Linked DNA regions of Anolis sagrei. The protein of the gene in region 2 purifies or fractionates together with the protein of the main gene of each other region. This does not show direct contact. Links are inferred from orthologs where the notes say so. Each region holds a gene or a part of one and is shown on either strand. Other genes may lie near its edges.

Region 1 (8,651 bases), on a different chromosome or scaffold from region 2:
TACTGACCAAAAGGTCATGAGTTCAAAGCCAGCCCGGGTCGGAGTGAGCGTCCGACCAATTTGTGTAGCTTGCTGTCGACCTTTGCAGCCCGAAAGACAGTTGCATCTGTCAAGTAGAAAATTTAGGTATCACTTATGCAGGGAGACTAATTTACGACGCCATAAAAATCTCCAGCAAGCATCAATATTTAATACTGATATTGTACAGGGTTAGTCAAAATGAATAGGCCAATAAGAAAATTAATTGTACCCGAATGTATGTTTACTGTAACCAAACCACAGCTACGTAGCGACAGATAAACTATCAAAGTTTTTTTTGAGCAACACACATGTACGTTAATGCCGCTAGGCGTCGCTAGGAGTCGCTGTTTTCAAAATGGCGGAATCAGGCAAAGAGAAGGCGTTTTGTGTGATGACATTTGCTAAAACAATGTCAGTAATTACGGTCCAGCGAGAATTTTGAGCCAAGTATGGCAAGGAACCACCTCATCGACATTCCATTGCGAGGTGGGTAAAGCAATTTGAGGAGACGGGCTGCTTATGCAAGGGTAAAACCACAGGACGACCGCGTGTGCTGCATTCGATGCCATTACGTCGGATGTGCTGCAACGGATGTGGAATGAACTGGACTATCGCTTGGACGTCTGCCGTGTCACACGGGGCACCCATATCGAACATCTCTGAAGGTGAGACAAAACTTTGATAATTTATCTGTCGATACGTAGCTGTAGTTTGGTTACAATAAACATACATTCGTCTAAAATTAATTTTCTTATTGGCCTATTCATTTTGACTAACCCTGTATTATGCTAATAATATAATATATTATATGCATATATATATTGTAAGATGCTCTGATTCCCCTTTGAGGTGAGGAGGGCGAAATATAAATGCAATAAATAAATAAATAAATAAATAGTTGATATCAATAACTGGGCCTATGTGCAGAAACTCTTAAACTATATCTTCAGCTTTACTGTTCACTTGTAGATTACCTTTGCCAATGGCTATTTTATAAAAATATTCAGCTAAAAGGGGTGAAAAAAATCCACCAGCTTTCAGATACATTTCAAAGGCTATCGGAAGGAAACAAGGAGAGTTTTAAGAGAGGACCAGAAAAGCAATTACAACTTGTGCAAGATCTGTGTTGTCTTTGCAGTCTGGGTGTGATCCTGGATTCATTGCTGAGCCTGGAACCCCAGGTCTCGGCGGTGACCAGGGGAGCATTCGCACAATTAAAGCTTGTGCACCAATTGCGCCCGTACCTTGGGAAGTCTGACTTGGCCACAGTAGTCCATGCTCTTGTTACATCCCGTATAGACTACTGCAATGCTCTCTACGTGCGGTCAGAGGCAGCCATAGGTAATTTTCAACGGTAAGCAAACAGTATTTTGGTGCCCCCCCCCCCAACGAATCATTGATATATATTTTCTGTTTGTCGTGGGAGTTCTGTGTGCCATATTGGTTCAATTCCATCATTGGTGGAGTTCAGAATGCTCTTTGATTGTAGGTGAACTATACATCCCAGTAACTACACTTGCCGCATTTGCTCCCTTGCCTGGCCTGCTTTGGGTCCGGAGGCGTGTCTGAAGACCCCGGCGTGTGTACCAAAAGTCACCTCTTCTCCTGACTTTCTCCTCAGCCATTGGGACCGAGAGAGAGAGAGAGAGAGAGAGAGAGAGAGGTGGAGATGCCCACCTTTCCTGAAGGTAGGCGCAAAAACAAAGGAGGAAGCGGAGGTGGGAGATACCTCCAGCCGGAGGGGCTCCCCCCCCTCTCTCTCTTGGTCCCAATGGCTGAAGAGAAAGTCAGGAGAAGAGGCGACTTTTGGTGCACACACTGGGGTCTTCAGACACGCCTCCGGACCCAAAGCAGGCCAGGCACGGCAGCTCCACCCCTTGGCCCACCTGCGGATTCGGGAGAGGAGAGGAGGCGGGTGGAGCGCCGGGGGATTGGGAAAGGGAGCCGGGCATGGGGAAGGGATCGAATGCGGAGAACGATTGAGCGCCAGCTCTGCTCACGCACCCACTGGCCGGGTGGAGCAGGAACGAGAGGGGCTAGGCGAGGCTCAAGAGCCCGGCCCCTTTGGGAAGAGGATCGCCTGGCAGCGAGGCAAGAAAGCTGAGGTCCCATCCCCCCGGACTGCTAGGGCTGTTGTGAGCTGAGGGGGTGCTCCTCAAGTGGCAGTCGAGGGGCATTTACAGGAGCCTCTGCACCCCTGGCAAAAAAAAAGTGTTCTGCGACTGCTTACTTCTAGTAATGGACAAGCCGCCCCTGCGTGCGGTTGCCTTTGAAAACTGTCCGGAAGCGTCAACTGGTCCAATGGACAGCAGCCAGATTGCTAACTGGAGCGGCTCTCAGGGAGCATACAACCGCCTTGTTGCGCCAGCTCCACTGGCTGCCAGTTCGCTACCGGGCACAATTCAAAGTGCTGGTTCCAACCTATAAAACCCTAAACGGTTCTGGCCCAACTTACCTGTCTGAACTATCTCCCCTTATGAAGCAACTAGGACCTTGAGATTGTCCGGAGAGGCTCTGCTCTCAGCCCTGCCTTCGTCACAGGTACGTTTGGCGGGGACAAGAGACAGGGCCTTTTCAGCGGTGGCTCCCCGGCTATGGAACACCCGCCCCAGAGAGATTAGATCTGCTCCCTCCCTCTTAATGTTTCGGAAGCAACTCAAAATGTGGCTGTTTGAGCAAGCGTTCACAAACACAGAGTAATGGATACAAACAAGTGACATAGGAACGGATAACTGACGATGGAACTGGACAATGCTTGACAGTAAGGAGAAGCCAATGATGTTGTTTTTATTGCTGTTGTGATTCATGTAATTTTAATTGTTTTAAAATTGTATTATGATACTATGTATACTGTTTTGTTGGAAACCGCCTTGAGTTGCCGATAGGCTGAGAAAGGCAGTATACAAATACAGTAAATAAACAAACTTCTCATTGACCTACCTCCAAACAGGGATTGAGGCAGCTGGTTCTCCACTGGGACCAAAACAGCACCAGCAAAGGGAAGAACATCTGTGGGCAGAGGGCACCACCCCTGGGCATCTTCAAGCTAACAACATGAGGAAGAAAGGAGAAATAAGCAGGAAAGAGAGATCGAAAATCCAGCAGACAAACACTTGCTTCGTCATGTAAGGCAGGCCAAGATCCTAGGAGAACGGGCAAATCTACACACAGCAGGAGAAGGAAGTGCAATTGAAAAAGAAAGAAAAAAGCAAACCGGAGGTTGTCCCTGGTGCAAGATCTATGTTGCCTTCTGGTAAACGGAGGTCTAGAAAGGCATGCTGTAGTTGACTGCAGGGCAAGAGGAAGTTCAGTCTTGCCATATGAGTTCCTCTTTTTGGTCAGACGGACTTAAAACCGTACGTTATACAGAATTCTGTGATTCTGCCCTCTGTTGTTTCTCTCTTTCTTTCTTTCTTGCCTCCTTCCTTCCCTTCCTTTCCAACTTCACTTGAGGAAAGCCAGTCATGTATGCAGTTCTTACTTCTGATGAGAGTACTTAGCACAGTGTTTTTCAACTTTCCGAATGCCGTGACCCCTTAATACAGTTCCTCATGTTGTGGTGACTCCCAACCATAACATTATTTTCGTTGCTACTTCATAACTGTCATTTTGCTACTGGCATGAATTGTAATGTCAATATCTGATATGCAGGATGTATTTTCATTCACTGGACCATATTGGGCACAAATACCCAATACGCCCAAATTTGAATACTGGTGGGGTTGGGGGGAGTGATTTTGTCATTTGGAGTTGTAGTTGCTGGGATGTATAGTTCACCTACAATCAAAGAGGATTCTTAACTCCATCAACGATGGAATTGAACCCAATATGGCACACAGAACTCCCACAGCCAACAAAAAACTGGGAGGATTTGTTGGGCATTGACCTTGAGTTTGGGAGTTGTAGTTCACCTACATCCAGAGAGCACTGTGGACTCACACAAAGATGGATCTGGACCAAACTTGGCACAAATACCCAATACGCTGTAATGTGAACACTGGTGGAGTTTGGGGGAAATAGAACGTGACATTTGGGAGTTGTAGTTGCTGGGATTTATACTTCACCTACAATCAAAGAGCATTCTGAACCCCACCAACAATAGAATTGGGCCAAACTTCCCACACAGAATGCCCATAACCAATAGAAAATACTGTGTTTTCTGATGGTCTTTGGTGGCCCTTCTAACCCCCGCTTGCAACCCGCCCAGAGGTCCCGACCCCCAGTTGAGAAACGCTGACTTAACAGGTCAACTGGATTCACCTACATGTTGACTCACTATTGATTAGGCTTGTACATTTTGGGTGAATCACTATCCATTTCTGCTTACTAGAAGACCACCATATTTGTTTTCAAGTGCCTCCCGAATGGGGGCTTTCATTCCGCATTAAAAAAAAATGGTTCTTCCAAGCTGCTGAATGGGCATTTTCATTCCGCATCCAAAAAAAAACACCACAAAAAAACAAACCAGCTCTTTTTGGCCCATTAATGGCAATGGGGAATTTATGGAGGCACCCCACTCACCATCCCTCAGGTCCACAACTCCCAGTCAGACCCACTAAATAAAAAGAATCAGGAAAATAAAAATAAAAAAGATTCAACTGTGATGCTGAATAGGGAAGGAGGAGGGAGCAGAGATCAGCTCCCACTTGCTTTTGTTTCAGGTGGGTTTTTGTACTAGGAGGACCCTTACCGTTACATACTCCCGGAGATAGCGAAGGACATGCAATCCATGCACAACCCTACTATTTGTCAATTTATTCACTGCTCTAGTTGGGATTAACAACAATGATATAACTACTGAATGACCTTGGGCAAACCATGGTTTAGCAGTCCCAGGTGAAAGCAAGAACAAAGCCTTTCTGAACAAATCTACCCAAAAAAAACTCCATGATACGATGATCTTTGGGCCCTGTGTGTCATGTTTTATGTTCTGCAGTTGATGGTGGTTGGTGATGGAAGGGTTAATGTAAGCATTAGTTCTAAAGGGTTAAGTAATCTGTAAGTAAGAGTTCATGGTTGAAAGCAATTAGGGGTTTAGGTATGTAAGAGATGGGTTGCAGCTGGGTGTTTCTGGATATAAGGAGCTAGCCTTGGGACTGATCTTTGGGCGAATAGTATTTGTTTTGTCTTGGTGGTAGATGCTGTTGGTTTTCCCCCAGGTTTGTGGCTTTTTGGTGTCCTGATCTGACTCCTGAACCTTTAGAATCCTGGAACCTTGAATCTTTGGACTGGCTTTTGACTACGGTATACTCTTGATCCCTGGACTTTGTTTATTAAACTCTCGGCGTTTGACCACTGGACTGGACCTTTTGACTATGAAGTTATCTTGAACCTGCAACAGTGTTTGCTGTTTTTGTTTTATATTCTGTGGCTGAGTACAATCTTTATGTTTTATATTTTGGACTATTAAAACAGCCAGAAAATAAGTGTGTTTTAATTAAACTGCTTGATATAAACTGGGTATTTGTTTGGTTCATCTCTACCTAAATAATGGCAGAGCCCTGGCATCGTGACACTGTGAAGGATGGAAGAGATCACAGGGGACAACTAGTCCAGCCCCTGCCATTGCAGGGATACACAAGGCCAGCAATAAAGAGAAGAAGGAGAGTTTAATTTTGATTGAGCTTATAAGCAGATAAGAAAACTAGAGCAGAACTCCAAGAAACTAGGGCTAGACTCCCTTCTCAATTATGGAAACTCACTGGATAACCATGGGTGATCCACAAGCTTTGCCAGATAACACAATTTCAGACTTCCCTTGAATAAATCATGTAAAGGAAATCCCATCATAGCTTCACTTCAAGTTCTCCACAAGTCAACGACAAACTGAAGACATACAGCAAGTAGCCAGCAAGCAAATCTACCTAAATCATTTTTCCAGAACAAATATGTGGATTAGGACACATCCTTGTCTCAGGTACCCCTTGATTTGAATCAAGATGCCCATTCCTGTTGTTTATTTCTTAAAGGCAGTATAGCTAATGAGTCTGAGAAACACCCCATGAACACATATAGTACTTTTAAAAACCCCACAGATGCTTCCAATCAGCAAGCAAGCAGCAATTACATTAAATGGAAGACAACAGGCCAAATGAAATGCAGTCAATTGGCTACCAGAGAATGCTCTCAGTAACTCTCAAGAGCATTGGTGCACGCTTTCACGCTTACAGAGCAGCATGTAGTAACTTTGCAACCACTTTGTTGAAGTGTCACCCCATTCCCAGTTGACTCTTGCTTGAATGCATGAATGCATGAATGGCCATGCAGGGAGGGAGCAGGGTCACATTGGGATACCACCATTCAGTGTCTGAATCTCAGGAGGAACCTCAGAGATGCCATGTTCGGATTGTGATATTCCATATGCTTCCTCCAAAACCAGTGGTTCTCAACCTTTCTAATGCCACGACCCCTTAATACAGTTCCTCATGTTGTGGTTACCCTCAACCATAACATTATTTTCGTTACTACTTCATAACTGTAATTCTGCTACTGTTATGAATAGTAATGTAAATATCTCATATGCAGGATGTATTTTCATTCACTGGACCAAATTTGGCACACATAAACAATACGTCCAAATTTGAATATTGGTGGGTTGGAGGGGGATTGATTTTGTCATTTGGGAGATGTAGTTAATGGGATGTATAGTTAACCTACAATCAAAGAGCATTCTGAATTCCACCAATGATGGAATTGAAACAAACTTGGCACACAGAACTCCCATGACCAACAGAAAATACTGGAAAGGCTGCTGGGCATTGACCTTGAGTTTGAGAGTTGTAGTTCACCTACACCCAGAGAGCACTGTGGACTCAAACAATGATAGATCTGGACCAAACTAGGCAGGAGTACTCAATATGCCCAAATGTGAACACTGGTGGAGTTTGGGGAAAATAGACATTGACATTTTAGCGTTGTAGTTGCTGTGATTTATAGTTCACCTACAATCAAAGAGCATTCTGAACCCCACCCATAATAGAATTGGGCCAAACTTCCCACACAGAACCCGTATGACCAACAGAAAATATTGTGTTTTCCTATGGTCTTTGGTGACCTCTCAGTCACCCCCTCATGACCCCCTCCCCAGGGGTCCCGACAACCAGGTTGAGAAACACTGTCCTAAACACATAGTATACATCTTGTAGGGCTGGGCGGTTTCGTTCGTTAATTTCGTAATTCATTATTAATTCTTTTTTTTTATAACGAAGTGATATTGAACCATTCAGGAGCAACTAAAAATCGAAACGAATTTTTAAAATTTATTTCGCAATTGTTTCGTAATTGTTTCGTAATTGTTTTGAAATTGTTTCATTATTATTTCGTTATTATTTCCGTATGTCTGGTGCAAGCTTTATGGTTGTTTGTTTTATCAGTGATAAAAAATAAATTATCACACCAACAGTCAACAACAGAGGGAGAGGGAAGCTTCAGAAGTTCCCCCTGTCCCATTTGGTGGTTTTTTTTAGCGTATTGCGCAATCGCATCCGCCATTAACGAATCGATTCGTTATTGTTTCAAAATTGTTTCGTAATTTCCAAAATTTCGTAAATATCGAACTTTTTTAAAGAAAAATTTTGGAATTCTTTTAAATAACGAAACGCAAAAATCGCCTAAAAACGAATCGAGTTTAGAAACAAATTTTTCCGTGGTTGGACAGCCCTAACATCTTGCACTGGAAAATAGACTTGTGCATTTGGGATAAACCTTGATCTCGACTTTTGGTGGGGGGGGGGGGGCTGTTCCATTTCTTGGGAGCCTTCCAAAATCAAGAGGGCAGATGTTTTTGCTCTGTGGTCCTGAAAGATTTGTTTTCTATCAGTCCCTTATGGAGGGAGCTTTCCAGGCTCCCCTTCCTGTCATTTTAGGCATTTATGCTGTTTTTTTTTACTCTAGAGGAGGTACTCAGCTGCAGGCAGGCACACATTTTAAGGATGCTTCCTACTTGTTTCTTACTCTAGAGGAGGCACTTGGTTGCATGCAGGCACATGTACTTTCTGGGTCTGCTGCATGCCACATGCAGTTTCCAAGGCAAGGAGACATATTCTCTGCTTCTTACTCTAGAGGAAGTACTCAGCTGCAGGCAGGCACGCACACCCTAATCTCCAGGATCTTGGAAGACCTTTGGTTGGATCACTGCCAGGTGGAGAGGAAAAGGGGTCATATTTGTTTATTTGTTTATTTGTTTATTTATCTATTTATTTATTTATTTATTTTGTATACAAAGCATTGCATAAATTAGTATAACACTGATAAAAATAGAAGGCGCACAGGTGCATAAATATCTTTTGACCAAAAACGAGCAACAGCAATGGCATTGTCTGTAGCCTCCAACAATTATTCCTCTGTACATGAGGCAGGGCACAGTGGACAAGCATACAGATGCAGAGTTGTCAGTTCTGCTCCAGAGTCACACAAGGATTGGTATTCTTTTAGGTAGTGCCATTTGGCCAGGTTGTCTTTTGTTCTGTCCACTCCACTTCTGAGTCTATTCAGGGACTTCCAAGTTGCCCATTCTTGGGTTGCCCCTGGAGGAAGACACTCTCTTGTGGGGGGGGGGGGGCATCCAGTTGGGATTTCCTGGTTTAGCTGCCCAGAGGGATACCCTTGCTGTTGCTGGGGGGACGCCAAGA
Region 2 (7,674 bases):
ATGAATAAAAACACTTTGGGATTCATCAAAGCACTGGCGTATTATTCCTCTTTTAATTTCAGTGCACACCTTTCATTCAGCCCGTTCAGACCTGATGAAGACAAGGGATGAAAAGGATCTCTTGACAACAAGTTGGCACAAGAAAACTATGGGTTGAATGCCAGACGTGGGTTTGGCAATGGGAGTTGCAGTCCAACCGGTTTCTTTGGCGTAACCATCCCTCCAAGGGAAGAAGTGTCCAACCGGTTTAGGAGTGTGGATGAAGCACAAAAACAACAAAGACACAGCAAAGTTGCCATTTTGGACTAAAACTCTCATAATCCCCTGCCAGAGTTCGAAACTCTGGGTAATATTTCAGTAGACAAGACCACGAACGTTGGACCTCAGCTTTCAGAAGCCTCCATAGTTGGGGATTATGGGAGCAGAAGTCCAAAACTTTTGGCAAAACAAGTTTCATACAGGTATGGGCAAACCCGGGCCTGGGGGCCGGATGTGGCCCCTTGGGCTCTTTTCTCAGGCCCTCCTCTCTTTCCATCCTATTCTTCCTTCTTTCTCTCTTTTCTTCCTTCTTCCCTCCCTCTTTCTTCTCTTACACCCTTTCATCCTTCCTTCCCTCTTTCCTTCCTCCTTCCCCTTCCATCCTTCCTTTTTGTCTTTCCTTCCTTTTCTTTCCTCCCTCCTTTCCCTCCCTCTTTCTCCTTCCATCCTTCCCTTCTTCGCTTCCTTCCTTCCCACCCTTCCCTTTTTCCTTCCATCCTTCCCTTCCACCCTTTCGTCCTTCCTTCCTTCTCTCTTTCCTTCTTCCTTCCTTCTCTCCCTCTTTCTCCTGCCATCCTTCCCTTCTTCGCTTTCATCCTTCTTTCCCTCTTTCCTTCCTCCTTCCCTTTCCATCCTTCCTTTTTGTCTTTCCTTCCTTTTCTTTCCTCCTTCCTTTCCCTCCCTCTTTATCCTTCCATCCTTCCCTTCTTCGCTTCCTTCCTTCCCTCCCTTCCCTTCCTCTTTTTCCTTCCATCCTTCCCTTTCACCCTTTCATCCTTCCTTCCTTCTCTCTTTCCTTCTTCCTTCCCTCTCTCCCTCTTTCTTCTTCCATTCTTTCCTTCCTCCCTTTTGTCCTCCCTTTTTTCTCTCTTTCCTCCCACTTTCTCTTTCTCCTGCCATCCTTCCCTTCTTCACTTCCTTCCCTTCCCTTCCCTTCCCTTCCCTTCCCTTCCCTTCCCTTCCCTTCCCTTCCCTTCCCTTCCCTTCCCTTCCCTTCCCTTCCCTTCCTCTTTTTCCTTCCATCCTTCCCTTCCACCCTTTCGTCCTTCCTTCCTCCTTCTCTCTTTCCTTTTTCCTTCCCTCTCTCCCTCTTTCTCCTTCCACCCTTTCCTTCCATCTTTTCTCTTTTCATCCTTCCCCTCTCTTTCCTTCATCCTTTCCTTCCTTCCCTCCATCACTGGGCAGCCAGTCCCCCTAGCAGGGAGTGCTGCCGTGTGGCCCCCAAGTTTGCCCAGGCCTGGTTTAATAAATATCGAGCAAGGAAGTGATTGAATGATGGATCGTAAGAACATGAAAAACCAGCCGAAAGCTCAGAACAAAGATCTGGGGAAAGACGCTATTCCGATGGATGCAGCCTAGAATCGCATTGGCCTTTGCTGTTGCTGCATCACACTCTTGACTCTCATGTTTATCTTGCGGTCTACTAACCACTTCATCACATTGAACCAGGACAAGTGTTTGGTAGAGTAGGTCTATCGTAGGTTAATCTCCCCCAAACCCTGCCAGTATTCAAAGTTGGCCAGATTGGGTCTCTGTGTTAAGTGTAATAATAATAATAATAATAATAATAATAATAATAATAATAATCTTTATTTATACCCCGCCACCATCTCCCCAAAGGGGACTCGGGGCGGCTTACATGAGGCCATGCCCATCAGTACAGAAACACAATATAACACAAAAACACAACAGAAAATCAGAAAATAAAATGACATAAAATACAAAAATGCAAAATACAAAATATGCAAAAATGCATAAAATACAAAAATACAGCACAGCAATATAACATCAAAACATTAAACCACTAAAACGAACACAATGAGCAGGGCCAGTACAAAAATTAAAATTTTAAAACACTGGGAGATAGTCCAGATCCGTCCTCGGGGAGTTCAGAGGGCTCACTGGATAAGAGTGAACTACAAGTACAACTCCCATATTCCAAGATCAATTACTCCCCAACCCCCCCCCCCCCCCCTGTATTCACAGTGGGCCGTGTTGGGTCTGTGCTCCAAGTTTAGTCCCGATCCAACATCGACTAGGTTCAGTGCTCTCTGGATGAGGGTGAACTATAACTCCCAAAATATCAAGATCAATTCCCCCTAAACCCCTTCATTATGTTCTGTTGGTCATGGGGGTTCACTGTGCCTAGTATGGTCCTGGTCCATTGTTTGTGAGAGTGACAATATCTCTGGATGAGGGTGAACTATAATTCCCAAAAAATCAAGGTCAATTTCCCCTACACCCCTGCATTATGTTCTGTTGGTCATGGGGGTTCACTGTGCCTAGTTTGGTCCTGGTCCATTGTTGGTGAGGGTCATAATATCTCTGGATGAGGGTGAACTATAACTCCCAAAAAATCAAGGTCAATTCTCCCTAAACCCCTGCATTATGTTCTGTTGGTCATGGCGGTTCACTGTGCCTAGTTTGGTCCTGGTCCATTGTTGGTGAGGGTCATAATATCTCTGGATGAGGGTGAACTATAACTCCCAAAAAATCAAGGTCAATTCCACCTAAACCCCTGCATTATGCTCTGTTGGTTATGGGGGTTCACTGTGCCTAGTTTGGTCCTGGTCCATTGTTGGTGAGGGTCATAATATCTCTGGATGAGGGTGAACTATAACTCCCAAATAATCAAGGTCAATTCCCCCTACACCCCTGCATTATGTTCTGTTGGTCATGGGGTTCACTGTGCCTAGTTTGGTCCTGGTCCATTGTTGGTGAGGGTCATAATATCTCTGGATGAGGGTGAACTATAACTCCCAAAAAATCAAGGTCAATTCTCCCTAAACCCCTGCATTATGTTCTGTTGGTCATGGCGGTTCACTGTGCCTAGTTTGGTCCTGGTCCATTGTTGGTGAGGGTCATAATATCTCTGGATGAGGGTGAACTATAACTCCCAAAAAATCAAGGTAAATTCCCCCTAAACCCCTGCAGTATGTTCTGTTGGTCATGGGGGTTCTCTGTGCCTAGTTTGGTCCTGGTCCATTGTTGGTGAGGGTCACAATATCTCTGGATGAGGGTGAACTATAACTCCCAAAAAATCAAGGTCAATTCCCCCTACACCCCTGCATTATGTTCTGTTGGTCATGGGGGTTCACTGTGCCTAGTTTGGTCCTGGTCCATTGTTGGTGAGGGTCATAATATCTCTGGATGAGGGTGAACTATAACTCCCAAAAAATCAAGGTCAATTCCCCCTACACCCCTGCATTATGTTCTGTTGGTCATGGGGGTTCACTGTGCCTAGTTTGGTCCTGGTCCATTGTTGGTGAGGGTCATAATATCTCTGGATGAGGGTGAACTATAACTCCCAAAAAATCAAGGTCAATTCTCCCTAAACCCCTGCATTATGTTCTGTTGGTCATGGCGGTTCACTGTGCCTAGTTTGGTCCTGGTCCATTGTTGGTGAGGGTCATAATATCTCTGGATGAGGGTGAACTATAACTCCCAAAAAAATCAAGGTCAATTTCCCCTAAACCCCTGCATTATGTTCTGTTGGTCATGGGGGTTCACTGTGCCTAGTTTGGTCCTGGTCCATTCTTGGTGGGGGTTACAGGATGTCTGGATGCGGGTGAACTACATCTCCCAAAAATCAAGGTCAATTTTCCCCAAACCCCTGCAAGATTCCTGGATCCTTTTCCTATGGATTATGACTTCCCTCAGTCTAGATACTATCCTCCTATGGATGCAGCCTAAAATCACATTGGCCTTTGCTGCTGTTGCAGAACATTGTCGGCTTGCAAAGGCTCCTAGAACACATTGACTGCTTTCCAGCCAAATTAGTCTCTGTGCATTGCATTCCTGTGGCCTAAGTGTAATATTGCACATTTCTTCCTGTTGGGAATTCATTGTGTTTGTTTAGGCCCCAGCTCTCCAATCTGTCGAAAGTATTTTGGACTCTCACCCCGTCCTTTGAACCAGGAAACGGGCTCAAAACTTTCAGGAAACTGCTCGGATTCAAGGCCAGACGCTTCCTGTTTCGTTGCTGTGCATGCCCCACCTCGAAGGCCCATACCGCTGGGGGGACTCCCCGCTCCTTCGGCCCCTTTGGCATCTGAAGCCTTGCTGGATTTGTGGCAAAGAGCCAGGTAAGGAGTAGAAGTTGGCAAAAAAGTCACATTCCTCTCTTCGCAGAGGAAGGAAAGAAAAAGCGATTGCCTCGATTCAACCGTGTGCAGCATTACACTTCGGCAATAGAAATACAATGGAGTCTCCTTCCTTCGAGGTTTGTAAGCAGAGGCTGGATGGCCATCTGCCGGGAAGGCTTGGATGGTGTCGTCTGTGAATTGTCACCCTCCCCAAACAGGCCTTCGTCTCCAAGCTACATACAGTCTCCTTCTCTAGAGGTTTGTATGCAAAGGCTGGATGGCCATCTGTCAGGAGGGTTTTGATTGTGTTCCTGCCAGGCTAAAAGGGGATGGATTAGATGGCCCTTGGGGGTCTCTTCCAACTCTAGGATTCAATTATTCCACCACCCTCATTCTCCATGTTTAATGTCTATGAAGTTGGATGGCCATCTTTCGGGAGGGCTTTGATTGTGTTCCTTCCTGGGATAAAAGGGATGGACTAGATGGCCCTTTGGGGTCTCTTCCAACTCTAGGATTCAACGATTCCGCCTGCTTCTTTCTCGATGCATAATGTCTATGAGGCTGGATGGGCATCTGTCAGGAGGGTTTTGATTGTGTTCCTGCCAGGCTAAAAGGGGATGGATTCGATGGCCCTTGGGGGTCTCTTCCAACTCTAGGATTCAATTATTCCATCACCCTCTTTCTCCATGCTTAATGTCTATGAAGTTGGATGGCCATCTTTCGGGAGGGCTTTGAGTGTGTTCCTGCCTGTCATAAAAGGGATGGACTAGATTGCCCTTCGGAATCTCTTCCAACTCTAGGATTCAACAATTCAGTCCGCTTCTTTCTCCATGCATAATGTCTATGAGGCTGGATGGGCATCTGTCGGGAGGGATCGAATGGTGTTGCTCCCTGGCAGAAGGGGGATTGGACTGGATGACCTTTGGAAGTCCCTTTCTAGCATGCTCCTTGTTATATTTGGAACCACACTTCTTTCTGGCTTACCGACATTCCTATCGGTAAGTTTCGGAAAAACTTTCCTACTTCTTGTTTGATACTTTCCTGGTTTAAAAACTTTTCTATTTGGGAAGTAAAGAGTTTGATACTCCCTGGGTTTCTCTTTTCTGCTTCTGGAACTCTCTGCCCTGGAGTGTGGTGGAGGCTCCTTCTTTGGAAGCTTTAAACAGAGGCTGGATGGCCATCTGTCAGGGGTGATTTGAATGCAATATTCCTGCTTCTTGGCAGGAGGTTGGACTGGATGGCCCATGAGGTCTCTTCCAACCCTAGGATTCTATGATTCGGCAATGCATTGCTGATATTGCAATAGACTGCTTTTATGCCATCTGATTTTATCTCATCTAAATAATAGCTTTGCTGTTTATCTTCAATACATTGCACTGAGTAACGCTATTCTTTTAATACGCAAGGGCAGCATGACAATTATTTTAAGTGCAGATTTGGTGCGCTGCTATATCGCCTTGTGCTTATTTTGTATGTCTATTGCCTCAGAGTATCAATAAGCTAATAGAGTGTTTAAACCGTTCATTTTTAAATGTACTTTACTTACGTAGGCGATCCCATGATGGTGTCTTTGTGGTGGGTTCGTAGGTTATTCTTGATACACATTGATACACAGTGAGGACATCGGTTTCCAGGTGGAAGGCGGTCCCGGTCAGGGTTGGCTTGATGCGCCTTCTTCCTCTTGGCACATTTCTCCCTTTCACCTTCCATTCATGCCTCTTCGAATTCCGCAGCACTAGTGGTCACAGCTGACCTCCAGTTAGAGCCCTCAATGGCCAGGGCTTCCCAGTTCTCGGTGTCTATGCCACAGTTTTTAAGGTTGGCTTTGAGCCCATGTTTAAATCTCTTTTCCTGTCCACCAATGTTACATTTCCCATTCTTGAGTTGGAAGTGTAATAACTGCTTTGGGATGGGATTGTTGATGGGAAGTTTCCCACCGGAGTGGAAATCATCTATCTGACAGATGGCAAGCTATTCAAACTCAGCAGACTGAAAGCCAAAACCAAGGTTACAACAACATCTGTTATAGAACTCCAGTATGCTGATGACAATGTCGTCTGTGCGCATTCAGAAGAAGATCTACAAGCCACTCTAAACACCTTTGCAGAAGCATACGAGAAGCTCGGCTTGTCATTGAACATTGAAAAAACCAAAGTGCTGTTCCAGCAGACACCAGCCAACCCCTCCCCAATGCCAGAGATACAGCTTAATGGTGTAACATTAGAAAATGTTGATCATTTCCACTACCTTGGCAGCCACCTCTCCACCAAAGTCAACATCGACACCGAAATACAACACTGCCTGAGCTCTGCGAGCGCAGCATTTTTCCGAATGAAGCAGAGAGTGTTTGAGGACCGGGGCATCCGTAGGGATACCAAGGTGCTTGTTTATAGAGCTATTGTCCTCCCAACCCTGCTATATACCTGCGAGACGTGGACTGTCTACAGACGTCACATGCAACTCCTGGAACGATTCCATCAGCGCTGCCTCCGGAAAATCCTGCAAATCTCTTGGGAAGACAAGCGGACAAACGTCAGCGTGCTGAAAGAAGCAAAGACCACCAGCAATGAAGCAATGGTCCTCTGCCATCAACTCCGCTGGACCGGCCATGTTGTCCAGATGCCCGACCACCGTCTCCCAAAGCAGTTGCTCTACTCCGAACTCAAGAACGGAAAACAGACTGTTGGTGGACAGGAAAAGAGATTTAAAGATGGGCTCAAAGCCAACCTTAAAAACTCTGGCATAGACACTGATAACTGGGAAGCCCTGGCCCTTGACCGCTCCAGCTGGAGGTCAGCTGTGACCAGCAGTGCTGCGGAGTTTGAAGAGGCACGAATGGAGGGCGAAAGGGAGAAGTGTGCCAAGAGGAAGGCGCGTCAAGCCAACCCCGACCGAGACCACCTTCCACCTGGAAACCAATGCCCTCACTGCGGAAGAAGATGCAGAGCAAGAATAGGGTTCCATAGCCACATACGGACCCACAAGAATATTGGAAGACAATCCTTCTCGGAAAACGAGGGATCGCCTAAGTAAGTAAGTAAGTAAGTAACTGCTTTGGGAGACGGTCATCAGGCATTTGGACAGTGTTGATGGTGTAGGAGCATTGCTTTAGTTCTGAAGGTCTTTGCTTCTTCCAGCACACTGGCATTTGTCCACATGTATTCCCAAAATATTTGCAGGATTTTTCGGAGGCAGTGCTGATGGAATCGTTCCAGGACTTGAGTCTGTAAACAGTCCACATTTCACAGGCGTATAGCCGGGTTGGGAGGACAATAGCTTTATCAGCAAGCACCTTGGCCTCCCTACAGATGTCGCGGTAGTTAGTGTTTAA

The links.
Region 1: the proteins of TICAM1 (region 2) and TLR4 purify together in Homo sapiens (affinity purification with western blotting; 3 studies listed by BioGRID). This does not show direct contact. The link is inferred for Anolis sagrei from reciprocal best matches to the Homo sapiens genes TICAM1 and TLR4.

What each region holds. Positions count from the first base shown.
Region 1 is NC_090031.1:12,183,780-12,192,430, reverse strand, and holds the start of TLR4 (toll-like receptor 4), read right to left. Parts: upstream 3,132-8,651; 5' UTR 3,061-3,131; coding exon 2,962-3,060; intron 1-2,961.
Region 2 is NC_090034.1:55,717,035-55,724,708, forward strand, and holds the start of TICAM1 (TIR domain-containing adapter molecule 1), read left to right. Parts: upstream 1-4,099; 5' UTR 4,100-4,343; intron 4,344-4,358; exon of another isoform or gene 4,359-4,601; intron 4,602-7,674.